Linked DNA regions of Arabidopsis thaliana. The protein of the gene in region 1 interacts with the protein of each later gene in a pairwise test. Each region holds a gene or a part of one and is shown on either strand. Other genes may lie near its edges.

Region 1 (3,756 bases):
AAGTAACCAATTAAAATCAACAAATTAGATTTGATATCTAAATTATCATATTAATTTTTTATTAATTATTATAGTTCACCTCTCATCTTTATATGATTTTATTTTTGCAAAAAAATAATATCATCGTTATAAAAAAATAATTAGAGTTTTTTTCGCATATGCCACAATTTAAATTTAAAAAAAACAAATATAAACTGTTCAATACATGAAAAAATACTATAACGGGTCAAAAGTAGATTTAAAAAAAAATTTTACTGAGTACTGTGTTATAATTTGAATATTTATATTCAATTTCATACATATTATTTTAAAATTTATAATTTTATATACTAAAATAATTAATAACATATTAGATTTTTTAATGTGTATGATGTGATTCAATTTTTAATACAAGTTGGAAAATCCTAGAATTGACGGGTTTAAATCAATATTAATACAAGATGGTATAGTACAGGTGAAACTCTAAAATTAACAATCAAAATACAAGTATATAATTTTAAACATTAAACAATATAAATAATATCAACAAAACATATACAACTAGCAGTTTACTATACATTTAAAATCAAATAAAATAATATCATATATTTGTAATCAACTTTACAATAAAAGTTTTTAGTTTAACTAAAATATAAGCCTACCTGCTGTATAATGCAAGTTAAAATTATAAATAAGCAGATTACCATCACGATGGATGTACCTTCTCACATACACACCTATCAAAAACTTAAAACCTTTCAAAACCTCTTGGTATATTCAAATTAGGATTCTTCATTCATAGAATCATTATTCCAAGGGTTTTGGGATGTCTTATGAAATGATTTTGGCAGAAGAGGATGTAAATTTTTTTGAATAAAAGGTATTCAACAAAACATATGTTTTATTGGGATTTTTTAGATAATTAAATCAGAGAATAGGGCTGGGCATATGAGTAACCCATTCGAGTTCGGGTAGAACCCGTTCGGGTTTGGGATTAATGGGTATATGATTTACTACCTAATAGAATAATTCTAAATATTCGGTTCGGGTCGGGTCCAGTTGGGTTTGGGTCAGTTTGGATAAAAAGTTTCAGGCCCTAAAAATACTCAAAAAAATAGAAACGAGTATTTTGTATGTAGATAGTGCGTCTCTAAACAAAAAAAACTTTTAAATTTATTAAGTTTTAATAAATTTAATTATATTTGAATATATTTTACTAAATTTTGACAAATATAACAAATAATTTTGATAAACATAACAAACATAACAAAGTATACAATGTAATTTATACAAAATATTAATGCCCGTGCTATACAGCACGGGTTATGATCTAGTCCTAATATATTTTCAAAGTCAAATACAATTTTAAACAGAACTTCTTACATAAAAATAATCAGAATCATAAATGTAACTGGGAGACAAAGATACATAAACTGATAAAAAGAAATAAGATGTACATATAGAATCAAATCAATACCCACTTCTCGTAAAACCCACTCATCGTTATATTTTATACAAGATAAGATAAGACTTAAGAGTAGATGTTAAACTATGCTAATGAAGCAATTTAAAAACACCAAAAAGACCAAACAAAAAACAAATAACAATGAGTAGGTTTTAGGAGAAGCATGTATTGATTCTTGGTATAGTTGAGTTTATTTATATTTTCATTAGCCAATCACTTTTTCTAATTTAACTAAAAATGTTATAATACCTTCCCCACCTAGATGATGAGATAATCATGGACCCAAAAACCTCAGTTTTTAAAAATGTTTATTCACCAAAAGACAAAAACAATAATAATAATCAAAAGTAGAGTAAAAGAAGAGAGAAGTGACATTCTTTTTCTTTAGCTCATAATTTCTCTAACAAATGCTTCTTTTATCCAAACTCTGATCATTGAGTCCAGTTGGGTAATGAGAGACACCAGCTGGGTTTCTTTTGTTTAAGCTCACAAACATCTAAAACAGAGAAAGCTTTGTCATTTTTCTTTACCCTGAAACCATGAAAGAAGATAAAGCTTTGTCCTTTTTCTCTTTTCCGTTTCTTTACTCTCAACAATGTCTTCTTTCTCCCATTGCAACAACCACTGGGTTTGGTTCATCTTGTCCTCTTGCGTCTTAAGTAAGAAAAAAGAAAAAAGCTTTGCGTTTGGGACTATGTCACAGCTTCTTGTTCTTCTTGTGGATGGTTTCAAGAACTCAACTATGAGATTGTTGTTGATAGAGTTTTAGTTTTGGGTTTGAAGAGATCTGAATTTCTTCAGCTGAATCTGAGATTAGGAGTCGAAATGTCTATAACTTGTGAGCTCTTGAATCTTACTTCAAAGAAAGCTAAGAAGTCGTCGAGCAGTGACAAGAAATGGCTAAAGAAGCCTCTCTTCTTCCTGATTTTGTGTGGCTCTTTGGTAATTGTTTTGGTTATGTTCTTACGGTTAGGTAGAAGTCAGAAGGAGGAGACAGATTCTTGTAATGGAGAAGAGAAAGTGTTGTATAGACATCAAAATGTCACAAGAAGTGAGATTCATGATTTGGTCTCTTTGTTCTCTGATTCAGATCAGGTAATTGCATGAATTGACTTGTATTTGTTGAAATTGAGCTTTTGAATACGCACCAGATTTGCCTTAAAGTGTAACAGTTTCTCTGTATTTGTTGTAGGTAACATCCTTTGAATGTCATAAGGAATCAAGCCCTGGAATGTGGACAAACTATGGTATTACATGTTCCCTGAGTGTGCGTTCTGATAAACAAGAGACTAGAGGGCTTCCCTGGAATCTTGGCTTAGGACATTCTATCTCATCAACATCTTGTATGTGTGGTAATCTTGAACCGGTAAGATAATATTCGATTCGACAACATGTGAAGGAAATGCTTTAAGATTTGGTGTTTAGCTAGTTCTCACAAAAGTTTATTGTGAATGTGTTTGGTTATGAGTAGATTTTACAGCAACCTGAAAACCTTGAGGAAGAAAACCATGAAGAAGGGCTGGAGCAGGGTTTGTCATCGTATTTAAGAAATGCATGGTGGTGTCTAATCCTTGGTGTGTTAGTGTGCCATAAGATTTATGTATCTCATTCTAAAGCACGAGGTGAGAGGAAAGAGAAAGTACATCTGCAAGAGGCTTTAGCTCCAAAGAAGCAGCAACAACGTGCTCAGACTTCTTCTAGAGGGGCTGGAAGATGGAGGAAGAATATCCTTCTCCTTGGTATTTTAGGAGGAGTTTCCTTCTCTGTTTGGTGGTTTTGGGACACTAATGAGGAGATCATAATGAAAAGGAGGGAGACTTTGGCAAACATGTGTGACGAACGAGCACGTGTTTTACAAGATCAGTTCAATGTTAGCTTGAACCATGTTCATGCCTTGTCTATTCTTGTATCTACATTTCATCATGGTAAAATCCCATCTGCCATTGATCAGGTGATGTTTTTTTCTTACTGCTAAATACATTTTGTGTCTCAAGTTTATGTTTAAATCATCAACTTCTGTTACATTTACAGAGAACATTTGAAGAATATACTGAGAGAACAAACTTTGAGAGGCCACTTACTAGTGGTGTAGCGTATGCTTTGAAAGTCCCACACTCAGAAAGAGAGAAATTTGAAAAGGAGCATGGATGGGCAATAAAGAAAATGGAAACTGAGGACCAGACAGTTGTACAAGATTGTGTTCCTGAAAACTTTGATCCCGCACCGATTCAAGACGAATACGCGCCAGTTATATTTGCTCAAGAAACTGTTTCCCATATTGTATCGGTCGACATGATGTCTGGAGAAGTCAG
Region 2 (3,756 bases), on another chromosome or scaffold:
AACAAAACAAAATGTGAAGCATGATGCACCCTAATGCTAGGAGATGGAAGAGAAGAAACCGAAAATGGTTTTCTTCTTATAGTTAAAAATGCAAACATATCCAACATTTTGGCTTCCTTTGGCTATACAAAATGGTAGCCATAACTACGAATATATAATACAAGAAAACAATCTATTTATAAAGAACCCAAATATTTTAAAAAATCTAAGCACCCTTTAAGGTCGAGCACAACAACAACATATCTCAACGATATCTCATAAATCAACGTACCAATTCATATTCTCCGACTCAGCACTATTCTTCAATACCCACTTAGAAACAGTGTCACAATCTACAGGACGGTGAGCTTCTTCAGCACACTGCAGACCCATGACGATAAAAGTGACATGGTATAGTTGTGTCAATTAAATTCTAAACAATGGAAAGATGAAACTATTCTAACTCTAACTGATAGCGTAACTTACATTCCAGCAGAAACTGTAACAGCAGCGACAATTCACATCATAATTACCACTTCCAACAACAAAATTTACAGCATAGTCACAGCCAGGAGCGGGACACCACTTGGTCTACAACATAAAAGATGCATTACTATCTGGGTGAGCACATATATGGACGGATAGAGAACACTAAAATTATGCACTGATTTCATTTGAAGGTTAATATAACACAAATAAATATCATGCACACTAACGTACGATCATACTGAGTTTGCTAGCTTACCTTTCTATTGTCTTCAACGTATGATCTGACAAAATAACTAGTGTACTTTTGCTTATCTTTATCAGGAGCTAGCAAATTGATCATATCCTGACCAACAGCAGCTCTGCAAGAAGGATCTGGACATCGTAATGTAAGACACCCTGGACCATCATTAATCGCTGTGGTGATATAACCTAAAGATGAGGGGAAAGGTCAGATAGTTAACCCAACAATAATGAACCATTATTAATTGTAATGCTTATATGTTGCAATACTTGCAAATGAAGACTGAAATGAAACATAAGGTACAAGTTACTGAAATCAAGCAAAAAAAAAAAAACAGTACATTGCAAGTTAAATCTAAACATCACGTTTGGAAATGGGTCTCAATATATAAAACAAACCTTCCCAACATGAGTCGCAGAATGGATGACCACAAGCAGCAGCATGCAATTTGTCAGAAAGGAAAGTCTCAAAACAAATTCCACAATCAAGCTGCCAAAATGACACAGCTGAATTCTATTAGATGAATTTACAATGTTAATCGAAATGAAAATATAAACAATGGGAGACATACTTCTCCATCAGTTGGGAAATCAACAACAGGTTTCTCTAATAAACCAACAGCATCTCGAACCTTTTCCTCATCAGCAAACCATTCATCATGAACTCTGCTCACACACCTAAAAACATTTACACAAATGAAAAGTTCCTCTAAGCACACACACACACACACACACACACACACAATAGCTGTAATATCTGAATAACAGAATCTGGAATCACACCAATTGTAGTGACGAAGCAGGATCGCAGATGAATTCCTCGAAATGGACAAAACAGTAGAAATCCTTGAAATATCATCTTCTTGAAGCTTACAAATATCTGCTTCGCTTAACACACTATAATTTTGCTACAAACCAAAAACAAATTCTTCATTAGCCATTGTGATCTATAAAATTTTCTCAAATCATCATTAACATTACAAAAAGGTCCTGCGATTATTTCAGAAACCAAAACTTCAATCTCTGTATTGGAAACAACATTAATTTCAATTTTGGTTAAGATGTAGATCCAGAATAATGGAGAAGAGAAACCTGGCGGCGACGGAAGATAAGGTCATCGGAATCATCAGCAGCGTCGTCAACGAACTCGTACTCGCCGTCGGCGTCATCTTCGTCGGAGTCGGCGTAATCGGAGTAGTTTTCGGTGCCGCTGTAGAAATCGTCATCAGCTTCCATTGAGATTCTCTTCTTCTCGATTCGATTTCGATTTCAAACACAAAGCTTAATTTTAGATACTTTCTCTCTCTCTCGTAAGAAGACGTTTGGAAGGGAAAACGTTTTAATCGAAAAAGGAATAATGGCAAAATGGTAAATTAAGCTTAGCCACTAAATCCCCTTCCAATTTTATCCCAAGGCACGATTAGAAGAAATATTTAAAACGTTTGTTTCAAATTTTTTGGTGATGAAGGCAATAATGTTTTATCCAATGAATATTTAGGATAAAGTTGTATATATGGCAACAACTAATAAAATTTGTTTTGCTATCTCTCGACTTCTTCTCTTGAAAATGTTTTTTTTTTTTCGAAATGAATTGTTTAGATCGATAACGGCTAATTGTAATTTCATGTTCACAAAAACAAAAAGGATGGAAAATCATAAGTAATCCAAAATGAACATGCCGGTACAGCAATAAGTAAATAGTTCATTAATTTACGAGCTTGATTATGTAATTTAGGTGAAACAGAAGCCAAACAAACAAAAAGTATTCAAGATAACGAGATTCTAAAATTTTGTAAGCATCGACTTAAAAAGACTTTCCTGGAACGTTAAGAGTCGGGACAAGACATAAACCGATACTAATACCGACAGGTTAAGACAAAAATGCAGAGAATCAAAGTAAAAGTAAAAGGCATTTAGGGAGAAAGCTAATTTACTACTAATGTGTTTATACTATTATGTCTTGCCTTTTGCCTTCGTAATTTAATTACCCAACCAACATTTGTAGCCGAGGTTGTGTTTCTTCACCATCCACCACCACCGCCATCGCTCTTCCGGCTGCTGGGTTCATTCCCCCAACCGCCCTCTCCATCGCTCTTTTTACCACCAGACTCGCTTCCCCAACCGCCATCTGCACTGCTCTTTTTACCACCAGACTCGTTTCCCCAATCGCTTCCGCCACCGCCAGAACCACTTCCAAAACCGCCATCCTCACTGCTCTTTTTACCGCCAGAATCGTTTCCCCAACCTCCACTACCACCACCGCCAGACCCACTCCCCCAGCTGCCCGCACCGTCACTCTTATTGCCACCAGACTCGCTTCCCCAACCACCAGTACTGCCACCACCAGTCTTTTTACCAGCAGACTCGCTTCCCCAACCACCGCCACCACTATTTCCCCAACCTCCATCTGCAGTTCCAGTATCATTATTACCCCAATCTCCGTTACCATCTTGTCTATCACTATTCATATCATCCCTCCGTCCTCTGCCTCGACCACGTCCACGGCCACCATATGGCCTAGGCGCTCCACTTGGATGTCCATCACGTCCACCACCATTTCTGTACTCACCGCCTCTCCCTACAATACAGTTGCACAGTTACTTAAGAGCGGACGTCCAGAAGTATAGTCAAGGAGACAACATAAATAATGTTAATATATAAATACTTCTCGGCATCTAAAATCCAGATTACCAGAAGTTAAATTAAAACATAACCCCGAGAAGTAGAACAATGACCACACAAGCTTTTCTATGCAAGTTAAAAAAACAAATTTAAAATGCATTACCTGAGCCTGAACGATCCGAGTTACCTTTCCAGCCTCCTTCACTCTGAGAACTACCCCAACCACTTCCTCCAGATGATCCATGGTCTGCTGGGCTTCTCATCGGTACCTTGGCAGCAATAGACCTGATTGATGGCGCCGATTCTTGCAATGGGTCATCAATATGCCTCTGGAAGTATGCCACAAGCCGATCAATGTCCTCAAACATCCTTTTCCTGAACTTAAATCCCTTGGGATATAAACCTATATACTCATGATGTGGGTTT

What was found. Proteins that work in one complex are often made in the same cells at the same time.
Region 2: the proteins of HK2 (region 1) and ARI8 interact in a two-hybrid assay, tested with the Arabidopsis thaliana proteins (one large-scale study listed by BioGRID).

Annotation. Positions count from the first base shown.
Region 1 is NC_003076.8:13,914,851-13,918,606, reverse strand, and holds the start of HK2 (histidine kinase 2), read left to right. Parts: upstream 1-1,801; 5' UTR 1,802-2,269; coding exon 2,270-2,539; intron 2,540-2,636; coding exon 2,637-2,810; intron 2,811-2,915; coding exon 2,916-3,395; intron 3,396-3,475; coding exon 3,476-3,751; intron 3,752-3,756. UniProt on the Arabidopsis thaliana protein: Cytokinins (CK) receptor related to bacterial two-component regulators. Functions as a histidine kinase and transmits the stress signal to a downstream MAPK cascade.
Region 2 is NC_003070.9:24,304,216-24,307,971, forward strand, and holds the start of ARI8 (IBR domain-containing protein), read right to left. Parts: upstream 2,124-3,756; 5' UTR 1,945-2,123; coding exon 1,801-1,944; intron 1,617-1,800; coding exon 1,492-1,616; intron 1,387-1,491; coding exon 1,281-1,386; intron 1,199-1,280; coding exon 1,108-1,198; intron 898-1,107; coding exon 725-897; intron 571-724; coding exon 466-570; intron 361-465; coding exon 272-360; intron 1-271. Other genes in the region: GTB1 (global transcription factor group B1), read right to left, coding at 2,730-3,286, 3,494-3,756. UniProt on the Arabidopsis thaliana protein: Might act as an E3 ubiquitin-protein ligase, or as part of E3 complex, which accepts ubiquitin from specific E2 ubiquitin-conjugating enzymes and then transfers it to substrates.